Anolis sagrei: one gene and its partner. The protein of the gene in region 2 purifies or fractionates together with the protein of the main gene of each other region. This does not show direct contact. Links are inferred from orthologs where the notes say so. Each region holds a gene or a part of one and is shown on either strand. Other genes may lie near its edges. The genes, in order: TNKS1BP1 and CNOT2.

Region 1 (7,975 bases), on a different chromosome or scaffold from region 2:
GAATTTCAACAATATCTATGCTCTGAATTTCCAAACCATATTTCAAAGGACAGATTATAACCAATGACAAATGACAATGAAAAATGACAAAGCCATGCATCTTCTTTCCAAGTCCTTTACTCCAATTTCTTTTTACAGCTGTGGTTTCTTCTCAGGTTAGACCACCTTGTGTTAGGCACCACTAAGTATAAAAGCACCCATTGTTTCTCTCCATTAGATTATTACAACCAGCATTAAACAGAAATGGGGTAGAAGCTGATTAGAGCTGGGCATATTTTGCTATCATCCCTATTACAGCAAAATCTAAAACCTCATTTCTATTATGTTTCTCATAAAGCCACTGTGAAAGTTCTATACACTTGTTAATTCAGGGAAAGGTACAGCTATGGGGATGTTAATCACTATGATAAGGTAATGAACACTTCCTCAATGCATCAAAATTCAGATACATGGCTACCCAATGCATCAAAATTCAGATACATGGCTACCCATGATAGGCTTCAGTTATTTGTGTATAACTGGAGCATGACTAAGAATAAAATTTCACAGAGCTGGACTGGTGGGCAGTGAAACTAAGAGCACTCTTCGATAGTTCATTTGTAAGTAAAAAAAAAAACAATTAGACCTCAGAAACATTTAGTGTAGCACTGCTCCTCTGTAAATCTATAATCTCACAGTGCTATCAGCACAAAGAAAAATTAAAGATGATATGTAACGTTGGACACAAGCTAGACTGGATGAGCCTCTAAATTACTACTAATACCACCTGTGAAGTCCCTCAGGACTGCATATAAACTGTAATATCTTTAAGGTAAGAAGAATCATATGACACAGCTCTTGGAGGGGGGGGGAGCTCCACTGCAAACAGCAGTTGATGAATATACGTTTGAACCATATTAAAAAAGAAGACAAAGAAAAAAATCCTCCTCATGCATATAAAAGTAAGAGCCTACAGCACTCCAATTAAGCATGAACGATATCATGTAATCTAAAAACAAAAACAACTGGTTCTCAACTCTCAGATGACCCATCACCCCTAAACAGGAAAATCCAGAGCCTCTATAAATTTGATAAAACAATGCATGATTTAATGACAATTGACGCATCTACACTGTCAAATTAATGCAGCTTGACATCACTTTAAATTGCCATGGCTCAATGATATGGAATCTTAAGATGTGTAGTCTGGTGAGGCACCAGCCCTTTTGGGCAGAAAATGATAGATATTATTATTATTATTATTATTATTATTATTATTATTATTTCTTGAGGCTCGTGTGGGGCACAACACAGTTAAAAACACATAATTGTAAAACATTATGCAAAATATTGTCGAAGCCTTTCATGGCCAGAATCACTGGGTTGTTGTAGGGTTTTCTGGGCTATATGGCCATGTTCTAGAGGCATTCTCTCCTGACGTTTCACCTGCATCTATGGCAAGCATTCTCAGAGGTTATGAAGTCTGACCTCATAACCTCTGAGGATGCTTGCCATAGGTGCAGGCAAAACATCAGGAGAGAATGCCTCTAGAACATGGCCATATAGCCTGAAAAAACCTACAACAACCCATTATGCTAAATACATCTATTAAAATGTATTTCTATGAAATACATATATTAAAAATCACAGAACAACAATTAAAACAGCAAACACAAGACATGAGTAGAAAATTCAGTTTAGAATTGACTGGGTAGCTGTATAAGAAGAGATTGGTCTAATTTAGTTGTCGGATTTCTTCTCGCAGGTCATTCTAGAGACCTGGGGCAGCTGATGTAAAGGTCCTCTGAGTGACAGTCAAGTTCTGTCTGGTAGGAGTAGCAGCCCCCAGAGGACCTAAGTGTGCAGGGTGTATTGTATGGGAGAAGGTGATCCTGTATGTAACCTGGACCTAAGCCATGTAGGGTTTTAAAGTTCAAAACCAACAGTTTGTACTTTGCCTGGGGCAACCAGAAGCGTGACTATAGTATAGATGTAATACGTTCACTCCTGGGTGTTCCTGTAACTAGTCTGGCTGCTGTGTTTTGAACAAAGGGAAGTTTCCAAACTTGGTGCATAAGTAGCCCAATGTAAAATGCATTGCAGAAGTTCAAGCTTGAGATTACCACCTCGTACACTATCAATTTTAGGTATGACTACAACACCAATGATTCCATAGCATGGAGCCTTGGCAGTTCTAATGGTGTCAAAACTGCATTAATTCTACAGTGTAGGTGTACCCAATGATACTGCTCCTCAAGCTAAAGGCTAAAATCACAGGACATACCTGTCTCTGGGTTGCCTGATGGTTGCTTGGGCCCCCCACGTCCATTGGCAGCAGTACAGGGAAGGAGGGAGGACAGCGGCTGGGGCTTAGGATCCATCACATCACCAAGCTGGGATTCAGAACTCCACATAAATGTCAGTCCCTAAAGCAGAAAAAGATGAGTTTAGACAACCTGTGGAAAAATATAAATCTGTAAACAGGTTAACAAGGTTTCCTATCTCTTAGGACACCAAAGCCCCCCCCCCCCCCCCCCAAGTTTGGTATAACCTTTCCACCTGGTTCCTTTTCCAGCATAAGCCTCCCTTTTTCTTTTTCTTTTCTTTCTTTCTTTCTTTCTTTCTTTCTTTCTTTTGTTTTGGTTGTTCCTTCCTTTCTAATCCCAACACATTCAGGAGATATATGGATTAAAGATGTCCTTACTAACTTAACTATAGGGATCCATGGGCTCTTTTGCACAGACGCAGAGTCGGTTTCATGGCAGGCCGCTCCCAGGGCAGGCTGGAACATGGATGAAGGGAGCGAGTCTCTTGCAAGCACCCAGGCCGTGACTCATGTTGAAGGATGGGAATGTGACACTCATAAAGCTGTTAGCTTTCTCTTGCTCTGCTCCACGCAGCACTGCCCCTGCTCCACCTCTGTCACACCCTGCCAGAGACACTGCTCCTTCTCATGCCAAATCTGTGCCTTGAACTCTTGTGCTGCCTCCTTTCCCCCTTCCTTTGTCACTTTGCCACAACACTCCCCTTTGGCTGCCTTGCAAGCCCGAATCTCCCTTCTCTTTCCAAGCCCTTGCTTCTCCACCCCTTCGAGCAACAGGAAGCGTTGCTGCTCGGTCCTCCGTCTCAGCTGTGTCTGCTCCCAACCCGGATATGCAGAGCAGCGAGTAAACATCTGGAGTACTTCCCCCTCCTCCCGATTTCTCAATTGCTTGGCACCGGCCCTGGAATTCAGTGAGGTAAAGCTGGGGCCTGCTCCCGTCGCTACGGCAACAGCCTCCCACTAGATTTCTAGAGAGGGCCAAACCCTGGCCAGGAGGAGGAACAGGGTTATGGGGAGGGTGCGTGCCAGAAGCCGTTCCAACTGGCTATTGCTCTGCTAGTTCAGCACTCAAGAACAGAAGTGAACCCGAGGATGAAAAGGAAAACTCTCCCGCCGTGTGACAAAAACGGCCTGAGACTGAAACACAGCCCAGAGAGTGTAAACAGCCCTGCTCCGTAGCTTGCATCTGAACACCAGGCCGAAGGAGGTGGAACCACACAGTCTCTCCCTTTTAAGGGAAATTTGAAAGCAGGCAGAATGCCTCTGAAGGAGAGAGAGAAAAAGGCAGAACAGACATTGTTGTTCTTGCCGCTCAGATACTTCATTTTTCTACAAGCCACAATGGATCCCAATTATTTTCATACTCCTCCAGAGCTGTTTGCCAAGCCTCTACCAGGGTCGCATCTTGTGTCTATTTATACTAGTCTATATATATCAAAATACTAAGGGTTTCACAGGCAAAGACATGGTAAATTATCCAGACAAAAGAATATTATTATTATTATTGACACAAAAACACAATATGGCACAGCAAACGAGATATAAATGCTGGATTTTGTATCACATTATTATTATTATTATTATTATTATTATTATTATTATTATTATTATTTTACTGACACAAAAACACAGTATGTCACAGCAAATGAAATATATATGCTGGATTTTGTATCACATTATTATTATTATTATTATTATTTTACTGACACAAAAACACAGTATGTCACAGCAAATGAGATATATATGCTGGATTTTGTATCACATTATTATTATTATTATTTTACTGACACAAAAACACAATATGATACAGCAAATGTGATATATATGCTGGATTTCGTATCATTATTATTATTATTACTAGCTTGGGGACCCGGCGTTGCCCGGGTTATTAGAGAAAGTGGGTAATGGCGGTTCTGTATGCCAAGTTTGGTCTTTATTGGTCTTTGGATAACGGCTGCATTATTTTTAGGAAGTGAGTGAAGGTACTTGAAGTCCCATCATCCATGGCCCATCCTCCTACAAACAGCAGCAGGATATAGAATGGGTCATGGGGGCTCTGTGTGCCAAGTTTGGTCTTTATCAGTCATTAGATGAGGGTGGCAGTGGTGTCAGTAAGTGAGTGAAGGTACTGCAAGTCCCATCATCCAAAGTCCATCCCCTTTCAAACTGCAGCAGGATGTAAAGTGGATCATGGGGGCTCTGTGTGCCAAGTTTGGTCTTGATTGGTCATTAGAAGAGGGTTACAGCAATCCTTGGAAGGGAGTGGAGGTACTTGAAGTCCCATCATCCATGGTCTGTCCTCCTCCAAACTGCAGCAGGATGTAGAGTGGGTCATTGGCGCTCCATGTGGCAAGTTTAGTCTTGATGAGTCATTGGCGAGGGTCTCAATGGTCTCAGGAAGTGAGTAAAGGTACTGCAAGTCCCATCATCCATCTCCAAAGTTTTCCAAACAACACCAGGACGTAACGTGGGTCATGAGAGGTCTATGTGGCAAGTTTGGTCTTGATCCGTCATTGGATGAGGTTTGCAGAGGTCTCAGAATGTGAGTGAAGGTACTGGAAGTTCCATCATCCATGGTCCACCCTTCTCCAAAACTGCAGCAGGATGTAGAGTGGGTCATGGGGGCTCTGTGTGCCAACGTTGGTCTTGATTGGTCATTAGATGAGTTTTGCAGCAGTCTTGGGTAGTGTAGGTACTTGAAGTCCCATCATCCATGGTCTGTCGTCCTCCAGACTGCTCCAGGATGTAGAGTGGGTCATTGAAGCTCCATGTGCCAAGTTTAGTCTTGATGAGTCATTGGCGAGGGTCTCAGTGGTCTCAGGAAGTGAGTGAAGTGGCTGCAAGTCCCATCATCCATTGTCAAATTCTTCCAAACCGCACCAGGATGTAGAGTGAGTTATGCGGGCTCTCCGTGTAAATTGTGGTCCTGATCCATCATCGTTGGCAGTTGTAATGGTCTTAGGAAGGGAGTGCAGGTATTGCAAGTCCCATCGTCCATGGTGCATCCTCCTTCAAACTGCACCTGCATGTAGAGTGTGTCATGGAGACTCAGTGTGCCAAGTTTGGTATTTATCGGTAATTGGATGAGGGTTGCAGTGGTCTGAAGAATTGAGCAATGGTACTGCAAGTCCCATAATCCACGGTCCATCCCCGGCCAAACCACACCAGGACGTACAGTGGGTCATGAGAGGTCTGTGTGCGAAGTTTAGTCCTGATCAGTCATTGGATGAGGTTAACAGAGGTCTCAGAATGTGAGTGGTGGTACTGCAAGTCCCATCATCCATGGTTCATCCTCCTCCAAACTGCAGTAGGATGTAGAGTGGGTGATGGGGGCTCTGTGTGCCTATTTCGGTCTGTATTGGGAGTGTTCTGACCCAGCCCCCTTTGGCCTTTCCTTTCCTCTCTTTGTCATCTCGGAATGTTGGATTTGAGGCTGGCCAATCAGAGACCATATGCAAATTTCCTTCTGTCATGCCCCGTTTCTGCCATGAACCCTCTTCTCCACCAGGGGCTCCTATTGAAGCTGTCCAATCAGAGACCATATGCAAATAGCACCACAGTGGCAGCCAATCAGAACGCTGCCACATACACTTCCGCCCTCCACAATTCCTCTGTCCTATACAAACAAACACTCTTCTTTATTATATACTAGCTTGGGGACCCGGCGCTGCCCGGGTTATTAGAGAAAGTGGGTAATGGTGGTTCTGTATGCCAAGTTTGGTCTTTATTGGTCTTTGGATAATGGCTGCATTATTTTCAGGAAGTGAGTGAAGGTACTTGAAGTCCCATCATCCATGGGCCATCCTCCTACAAACAGCAGCAGGATATAGAGTGGGTCATGGGGCTCTGTGTGCCAAGTTTGGTCTTTATCAGTCATTAGATGAGGGTAGCAGTGGTGGCAGTAAGTGAGTGAAGGTACTGCAAGTCCCATCATCCAAAGTCCATCCCCTTTCAAACTGCAGCAGGATGTAGAGTGGATCATGGGGGCTCTGTGTGCCAAGTGTGGTCTTGATTGGTCATTAGAAGAGGGTTGCAGCAATCTTTGGAAGGAAGTGGAGGTACTTGAAGTCCCATCATCCATGGTCTGTCCTCCTCCAAACTGCACCAGGATGTAGAGTGGGTCATTGGAGCTCCATGTGCCAAGTTTAGTCTTGATGAGTCATTGGCGAGGGTCTCAGTGGTCTCAGGAAGTGAGCAAAGGTACTGCAAGTCCCATCATCCATCTCCAAATTTTTCCAAACAACACCAGGACGTAAAGTGGGTCATGAGAGGTCTATGTGCCAAGTTTGGTCTTGATCCGTCATTGGATGAGGTTTGCAGAGGTCTCAGAATGTGAGTGAAGGTACTGGAAGTTCCATCATCCATGGTCCACCCTTCTCCAAAACTGCAGCAGGATGTAGAGTGGGTCATGGGGGCTCTGTGTGCCTATTTCGGTCTGTATTGGTCATTATATGAGTTTTGCAGCAGTCTTGGGTAGTGGAGGTACTTGAAGTCCCATCATCCATGGTCTGTCGTCCTCCAAACTGCTCCAGGATGTAGAGTGGGTCATTGATGCTCCATGTGCCAAGTTTAGTCTTGATGAGTCATTGGCGAGGGTCTCAGTGGCCTCAGGAAGTGAGTGAAGTGACTGCAAGTCCCATCATCCATTGTCAAATTCTTCCAAACCGCACCAGGATGTAGAGTGAGTTATGCAGGCTCTCTGTGTAAATTGTGGTCCTGATCCATCATCGTTGGCAGTTGTAATGGTCTTAGGAAGGGAGTGCAGGTATTGCAAGTTCCATCGTCCATGGTGCATCCTCCCTCAAACTGCACCTGGATGTAGAGTGCGTCATGGAGACTCAGTGTGCCAAGTTTGGTATTTATCGGTAATTGGATGAGGGTTGCAGTGGTCTGAAGAATTGAGCAATGGTACTGCAAGTCCCATAATCCACGGTCCATCTCGGCCAAACCACACCAGGACGTAAAGTGGGTCATGAGAGGTCTCTGTGTGAAATTTGGTCCTGATCAGTCATTGGATAAGGTTAACAGCGGTCTCAGAATGTGAGTGGTGGTACTGCAAGTCCCATCATCCATGGTTCATAGTCCTCCAAACTGCAGTAGGATGTAGAGTGGGTGATGGGGGCTCTGTGTGCCTATTTCGGTCTGTATTGGTAGTGTTCTGACCCAGCCCCCGGCCTTTCCTTTCCTCTTTTTGTCATCTCGGAATGTTGGATTTGAGGCTGGCCAATCAGAGACCATATGCAAATTTCCTTCTCATGACTCCGTTTCTGTCATGAACTCTTTTCTCCACCAGGGGCTCCTCTTGAAGCTGGCCAATCAGAGACCATATGCAAATAGCACCGCTGCCCAGCCAATCGGAATCTTTGAACTTTCAGGCTGGCCAATCAGAGACCACAGTGGCAGCCAATCAGAAAGCGAGCACATACACCGCCACACTTTTGTCCTCCGCATACAAGTTTTGACTTTTATTATATATATAGACTAGCTTGGGGACCCGGCGCTGCCCGGGTTATTAGAGAAAGTGGGTAATGGTGGTTCTGTATGCCAAGTTTGGTCTTTATTGGTCTTTGGATAATGGCTGCATTATTTTCAGGAAGTGAGTGAAGGTACTTGAAGTCCCATCATCCATGGGCCATCCTCCTACAAACAGCAGCAGGATATAGAGTGGGTCAT
Region 2 (8,172 bases):
CAGATTGACTTAATTCACAAAACTCCTTTGTGAAAATCAAGGTGTAGGGTACAAAATTATTCAGAGACATCACAAAAATCTGCTTCAGTTACATAAATACTAAATAGTATTTCAGTAAAAGTATAGCTGAATAAGTATGGTTTATTAAGTATCCTGATAAGCACTAAGTGTTTCCTTTATAGGACAATGTTTTTTACAGTTGTCTGATGAACATTTAGGACTCAACATCAAGGACTTAAGACAGCATCAATGACTGAAAGAATCATGCAATCCTAAAATGAAATTTCTGACAGAAATGACCCTTGGTGATACAAAGCATTCCAACTTTTACTTCACATGAGAAGTTTAAGAAAAGCAGTAACCATCTTTATTAAACATTTATCCAACCTGTGCTGTGGGTAGAAAACACAGTAAGTACCTGTAACTTCTTCTAAAAACTTTTTCCAAAAAGTGTATGAAGGGGAAAGAAATCCCTGCATACATTTAAAAAAACCATGTCCAAAGAGTAATATCAGATTCCTCTGCTAGGAGTATGAATACCTGCTGGATTCTTTTTTCCAAATAATAAATGCCTGTATAGTTTTTATAACTGTGCAAGTTAGGTTCAGATCACTTTCTCCTCCATGTTTTGGAAAGAATTTTAAAACAGACTTAAACTGTATGATGACTACAGAATTGGTGCAATGTTCAATACATTTTATGATGTTTTAATATGCTTAATATGTTTTAATTGTTTTTATTTGTATTTATATGTTTATTGATTTTTAGTTAACTATGTCATGTATTGCTTTTTTCTTATGTATAATGTGATATTTAATTTTGCCAAATTGTAAACTGCTCTGAGTCCTCCTCAGGGTGAGATAGAGTGGGATAGAAATATACTTAGTTAATTAATTAATTAAGACTGAGGGGGGGGGAGGGCAGACAAGTTGGTTAGAAGTGAAATGTGATGACTGACTAGCTCTTTTCCTCAAGTATTTTGCTGAAGATTTCAAAAGTTCAAAGCCTTTCACACCAATGTTAATTACACTGCAAAACTGAAATGTCCCCAATCCCTAGCAAAAATGACCTACAGCCTTGTGTCAGAAGCTTACATGCCTCTTTTGTAAATTATTAGTATTTCAGTTGGTAGAAACACAGGCAGCATTGCATGACATCAACTACCTGGGATGTTTAGTAGTCCAGTGTAAACTATAAATAAAGGACCCTTCCACACAGCTGAATAAAATACCACATTTTCTGCTTTGAAGTGGATTATATGGCAGTGTAGATTCAGGGCCTTTCCACACGGCCCTACATCCCAGAATATCAAGGCAGAAAATCCTATAGTATCAGCTTTGAACTGGGTTATCTTAGTAAATACTCATATAATGTGGGATTTTCTGCCTTGATATTCTGGGATATAGGGCTGTGTGGAAGGGCCCTCAGATAATCCAGTTCCAAGCAGATACTGTGGGATTTTCCAACTTGATATTCTGGGTTATATGGCTGTGTGGAAGGGCTCAAGCAATTTAAGAATGACAGATTATGGAATCACAGGGTAACTACAATTATTTATCATAGTATTATTTTAAAAGACAGTGAGTAAAGAAATCTTCCCTATGGGGAGCATCTGTAGAATTAATGTAATTTTACACTGACTGCTATGGCTGAGGGTCCTTCCACACAGCCATATAACCCAGAATATCAAATTGGAAAATCCCACAATATCTGCTTTGAACTGGGTTATGTGAGTCCACACTGCCATATATTCCAGTTCAAAGCAGAAAATGTGGGATTTTTTTCAGCTGTGTGGAAGGGGCCTCAGTGCTATGAAATTCTGGGATTTGTAGTTTGGTGAGATACTCGTATTCTTTGGTTGAGAAAGCTAAAGACTTGGGGCCCTTCTACACAGCCCTATATCCCAGAGTATCAAGGCAGAAAATCTGCTTTGAACTGGGTGATCTGAGTCCACTCAGATAATGTGGGATTTTCTGTCTTGGTATTCTGAGAAATAGGGCTGTGTGGTAGGGCCCTTTGTAAAAGTACAACTCCTAGGTCTCCACAGCATTGAGCTAAGGCTGTTAAACTGGTGTCAAACTGCATTAATTCTACAACGGAATATGTATTCTACTCAAAGCAGAGAGTGATGAACTACAATTTATAGTTACAATGCATTGTTGTTGTTGTGTGTCTACATCTGCAAACTTGGGAAAACGCTTGCAAAAGTTTGCTCCCTGGGTGGAACAAGGCTACATCCCCACTGACCACTGAATGCAGTTTCAAACCGGAACTGAAGAAAGTGGTTTCGCTGTGCAGATGATTACATGGAGAAAAATACAGAACCAGCCTGAGGCCCAGGCGGTGATTGCACGAACTGGGGGAGCACGGGGGCACATTCAGGGCTTGCTTTGGCGCACTTTTGCCGGAGTTTGTGGCCTGGCCGCGGCAGTTTGGAAACTGGCTCCCAACCGCGTTCCTTGCCCAGTATGGATTGGGGGGAGACCCGAGTCCCGTCCCCCAAAAGGCCCGGCTCTGTGGCGAGAGGAGACGCAACTCCAACGCAAACAAAGGACCCCTCGCGTCCCGCCAGCGACCCAGGCCAGGGCTCCGGCCTTCCTTCTGCGGAGCCCTCGAGGTGGGCCCGTGTTTACAAAACAACCACAACAAAACCCTTCCACGCCGCCGGTTTCTCCCAAGTTTCCTTCCCACCAAAAACTCGCCAAAGAGGAGGCAGGCGAGCAGGCCTGCTTGGTGGCGGGAGCCTCCAGATCCCTAGGCCGCAAAGCCCGCCACCGCTGGGAGCCTCTGCGCATGTACAAAGGGCAAGCCTGGTCCCTGGGTGCCTTACCCTGAGGCCTAAGGAGGCGGGGAGCTCGGATGCGGGCATAAAGGACCGCCGCCGCCACCACTGGAGTCGAGAAAGACGGGAGCGAGGCCTCCTTCCCCTTCGGAAGCCAGGGAAGGCAGGCCGGCCTCGGGGCTCCTTCCTCCTCCTCCTCGTCCTCAAGCGCTGCGCCTCCGAGCGGCCTTGCCCGCTTCCCCCTTCCCCTCAGGCATCCCTCCTCCTCCTCCTCCCCTTCCTCTCTTTCTCTTCCTTCCCTCAGAGAGACAAAAGCAAACGGAAGCGGCCCGGCGGGACCAGGCCGGCCTTGAGCGCCTCCACCCGGGCAGGCGCCTGCCAGAAGCCCCCCTTGGCTGCCCGCCGCTTCCCTGAGGAGGCTTCGAGCCGAGCCGCGGCGCCGAAGCGGGGGAAAGAATAACAGGGCCGCACTCACCGCATGAATTTTCTTGTCCCGAGGATCCAAGATGGCTGAGCACCCCGCACGGAGGATGCTGGGGGAGCGACCTTTGCCCTCTGACCCCGACGCTGCCGGCGTGACCTCGACGTCGCCGTCCGGCGGCCACGGGAGACGGCGCCTCTCCTCCGTCGCCGGCCTCGCCGAGGGAGAAGGGCCCTCGCTTACGGCCTCGCAAGGAAGGAGAGGAAGAAAGGGAAGAAGGGCCCCAGGACAAGGCCTCAGAGCGGCCTCGTGGGAGTCGAGAAGAGAGCCTCAGACATCCGGGGAAAGCGGGAGGGAGGGAGGGAAGGGGCCTCTCTTCCACTGAGAAGGAGGGACGGAAGGAAGGAAGGAAAGAGGGAGGGAGGGGCCCTTTTCAAACATAAACACACACCTCGGTTGCAGAAGAAAGGAAGACTTGCCCTGGCACCCCTTGGGAAGGATTGGGGGCCCTTCCCCACAGCCCAAAATAGCATGGCAGAAAATCCCACCGTGTGGACTCAGATCACCCAGTTCAAAGCAGACATCGTGGGATTCTCTGCCTTGATATTCTGGGATATAGGGCTGTGGGGAAGGTCTACAGCCTTCTCGGCCAAAGAATACTAGCATCTCACCAAACTACAAATCCCCGAATTTCATAGCACTGAGGCCCCTTCCACAGAGCTGAAAAAAAATCCTACATTTTCCGCTTTGAATTGGAATATATGGCAATGTGGACTCAGATAACCCAGCTCAAAACAGATATTGTGGGATTCTCTGCCTTGATATTCTGGGATATAGGGCTGTGTGGAAGGGCCCTGAGTCCACACTCAGATAATGTGGGATTTTTAGCCTTGGTACTCTGGAATACAGGGCTCTATGGAAGAGCCCCCTGACTCGGAGGCTCTCAGCACTATCTATTCTGAGGGCCCTTCCACACAGCCCCACATCCCAAAATATCAAGGCAGAAAATCCCACATTATCAGAGTGTGAACTCAAATAACCCAGTTCAAAGCAGATATTGTGAGATTTTCTTCATTGATGTCCTGAGATAGAGGACTGTGTGGAAGGGCCTTAAATTCCCTTCCAAACGGCCATATCACCCATGATGTCAAGGCAGGTCATTCACAATATCTGCTTTGAACTGGATTATCTGAGTCCACACTGCCAGATGATCCAGTTCAAAGCAGATAATGTGAGATTTTATTCAGGGCCCCCAGAATATAATAGAATCATTGAGCTGGAAGAGATCTCATGGGCCATCCAGTCCAACCCCCTGCCAAGAAGCAGGAAAATTGCATTCAAAACATCCCCAACAGATGGCCATCCAGCCTTCCAAAGAAGGAGCCTCCCCCACACTCTGGAGCACAGAGTTGCACTATTGAACAGTTCTCACATTTAGGAAGTTCTTCCTCATGTTCAGGTGGAATCTCCTTTCCTGTAGTTTGAGTGATATTATTATTATTACTATAACTTTACTTTTGTACCCAGCCTCCATGTCCCCGAAGGAACTTGAGGCAGCTTGCATACAGCACAATGTGCCTAAAACAATGCATAAAATAAACAATGCAATAAAAGATAAAACCAATAGCATATAAAACAATTTCAACTCAATAACCTATGGTGAGAACTGTTGTAAAACATCGCCAACTGTATACAGGAACAAGGGAATAGGATAGTGCAAGTTGTAGCCATTGTTCCACGTCCTAGTCTCCAGGGCAGCAGAAAACATGCTTGCTCCCTCCTCCCTATTACTTCCCCTCACATATTTGTACATAATCATCATGTCTCCTCTCAGCCTTCTCTTCTGCAGGGTAAACATGCCCAGCTCTTTAAGCCGCTGATCATCAAGGCAGATCATTCACAATATCTGCTTTGAACTGGGTTACATAAGTCCATACTGCCAGAACTTCTATGTAGATTTTATACAGCTTTGTGGAAGTATCCTGAGAAGATTTCCCTTCTCGTCTTTGCCCCACAAAACAAGCATTTTCAAACCTGATGGAATTCCAATAAGAACTTCTTTGCCCTTTCTTCTACATGGTGTCTTTTCAGGCCATTTATATAGGCATGCTTGTTTAATTTATATGCCACTTTTCAGTGGGACCCTAGGAGGCTTCTAAAAATGATACAGGCAGTCCTCGAGTGACAAACACCTGACTTACAAACTACTCATAATTAAGAACGGGTGAGACAACAGGAAGGGCAGTCTATCCTTAGGAAGGAGAAGGGAAGGGAAATTCACTCCTGGAAGAGTGATCAGGGGAAAAAGGTATCTCTAGTGGAGCTTTATCACCCATCCTTGTCTCCACAACAAGCCACATTTTCCAAAATCCAGAAAGGGAAGTGGAATCTTCTCAACAGCGGCACAGACAGCAAAACAGACCCCACAGAGGTGTTGACCCCTATGCTATCCAAAGCTTATATATGTGTATGTGTGTGTGTATTTGGCTGGAGTTATACTTTTAAAAAGTACATGTTCCAACAAAATAAACTTGAGAACAAACCTACAGGACCTATCCTTTTCATAATTTGGAGACTGCCTGCAAATTATTTTTTTTTACCCTACATGTTAAACACACACACCAAAACAGCCTGTTTTCAGAGGAGGTGAAATTCAAGTAATAAGAATCCCTTCACCACAGGAGTTTATGTGTGCTTTCTTACCTGTAGTAGCTTTTCAGACCACTTGTATGGCACTATATATATGAGAGGCTTTCCTGTTTTTCTTTAATTTACTTGTACATGCTGCTATTTGGAAAAACGGTATATTATAACCATTTGCCTACAACTTTAAAAAAGAAATAAAATCCTACCAGAGTACATTTTAAAATACATTTTAAATCCAATAATCAAAAGTTTAGTAAAAGAGTAGTAAAACACCCCCAATAAACCCACCCCACCTCTTTACTAAAAGCTTGGGAGGGACCTTTAACAAGCACAAACCAACACTGTGGTAAAGGCGGGGAGGTACCTCTTCTCTCTTTGCCCCTCACAAAACAGACAGGTTGAAATTCCAGTAATACCCTCTTCACCACAAGAGTTTGCTGTCTTTTAAGGTGATTTCTATGTGGTTATTTTTCTCTATGCTTTCCATGTTTGTTAATGTATATGCCTCCCTTCAGAGCGAGACTACAATTAAAATCCTATTATGATACATTTTAGAATCAATTTAAAATATTCAGTAATTGGATAAGATGGGTAAAACATGCCCGACCAAAAACCCCCTTATAGCCTAAAAAGCTTGGAAGGGACCTTTTAACCATTACCAACACAGGGAGCCATAGCTGCCCTGGCTAAGAAGCCATCTCTTCTCTCCTTATTTCCCCAAAACAGTCTGTTTTCAAACATGTTAAAATTTTAGTAACAATTAAAATTGTGTCATAATACATTTTAAAACCAACTTAAAACGGTTTAATAACATTAGTGAAACATGTTCCACAAAAAGCCACCCCACATTATATAACATTAGCTTGGTAGGTATATTTTGCAAGCACAAACACATACCTTGCCGCAGCAAGGCCACCCTTGCATCATGTAGTAAAGGTTTGTCTTTCACAAAACAGGCTTTTTCAGACATGATGAAATTCCAACATGGGAGTAATATCCCCTTCCCCAGAGGAGTTTTCTTGCCCTTGTCAAATGTGTCTTTTTAAGTGATTTATATATAGTTATATTTATGTGTGTTTCCCCAGGATTTTTTAATATACTGTTTTGCTTTCAAAATAGAATAAATTAAAAGCATTTGCTATTTAATTAAAAATATAATTAAAATTCTATTATAATAACATTTTAAAATCAATTAAAATATACATTTAGTTTGATTAGTAAAGCATACCCCATAAAAAGCCACCCCACTGTATGTACAACATTTTTGGTTAAATAAAAATGCCTGCCGACAAAAGGACAACAGGAAGGGAGTTTTAAAGGTGGGAGTAGCCATTAAAAAGGCTCTTTTCCTACCCTCACCAAGACAACTGGTGTTAGTGATTGGACCAAAATATAATCTTGTCCTCAGTATCTTAGTGGCACATTTAGGGTTCTTTGTGCTAAGAGTCTGGATGTTTATGGTGCATTCTTCAAACACAAGTCTGTTCCATTTGCTTCAGGGATGCATATTTGTAAACCTGGTTTATGTCCCTTTCCCCCAAAAGCGAAGGGTTTTCAGTGAACCCGGAGAAGGGTTGTACAAATGTGTGATATATTCAATGCTCTTCTGTTTAAGGAAATCATTTTAGAGCTGGTCTAGGGCATTTCTACTGCAAGGAGTGCTGATGCCAGTTCCCAAGTGATTAACTGCAAGTTCCCAAAGAATTTCCAGGAAAGAAAAAAAAAATAGTTGCAGCCAGTTTGCATAAATTCAGTTCTGCACAGCATTCCACACTCAGGGAACTGCATTTGAACAAGGCCTTTGTCCCAACTGAAAAAGAAAGTTAAAACCAAGCCTGCTGAAGGTATGCTAAACCCTATTGAGCCTATGAAAGTTAGAAATTACTTGGGGCAACCGTAGGTTAACTGTTCTGGCATTGTGGCGATATTATGGACTCAGTTGTTACTCCCTTGTCCCACCCTCTTCTTCATTACTTTTTGGTTCTTCTGCTGTTAAATTTGCTTTGCTAACAGACATCTTAAATCTGATTACACTTGTGCCTAATCCTACTCTAGTATAGCTGGTGCATCTCTTAGTAAGAATTGCACTGGTAAGCTATTTGTATATAGTAATAGCAATCCAGAAGCTTCCTAAACTGCAGATCCCACATGTTATAATGATACTTGCCAGTCACACATCTCAGCTTAAATGAGACACCATTGTGACGTAGGTAACTTTTTGCTCAACTGCTAACATGGCAGAGGGGAAATTTAGCTACAGTATCACTAAAAGAGGGAGTAAAGCAAAATGCTATCAGTCCTCACCCACCCAAATATATGATTC

Evidence for each region.
Region 1: the proteins of CNOT2 (region 2) and TNKS1BP1 purify together in Homo sapiens (affinity purification with mass spectrometry; 5 studies listed by BioGRID and IntAct, with this or other methods). This does not show direct contact. The link is inferred for Anolis sagrei from reciprocal best matches to the Homo sapiens genes CNOT2 and TNKS1BP1.

What each region holds. Positions count from the first base shown.
Region 1 is NC_090021.1:233,714,034-233,722,008, forward strand, and holds the start of TNKS1BP1 (182 kDa tankyrase-1-binding protein), read right to left. Parts: upstream 3,149-7,975; 5' UTR 2,771-3,148; coding exon 2,684-2,770; intron 2,643-2,683; exon of another isoform or gene 2,539-2,642; intron 2,406-2,538; coding exon 2,264-2,405; intron 1-2,263.
Region 2 is NC_090025.1:143,578,742-143,586,913, reverse strand, and holds the start of CNOT2 (CCR4-NOT transcription complex subunit 2), read right to left. Parts: upstream 3,012-8,172; 5' UTR 2,870-3,011; coding exon 2,831-2,869; intron 1-2,830. UniProt on the Homo sapiens protein: Component of the CCR4-NOT complex which is one of the major cellular mRNA deadenylases and is linked to various cellular processes including bulk mRNA degradation, miRNA-mediated repression, translational repression during translational initiation and general transcription regulation.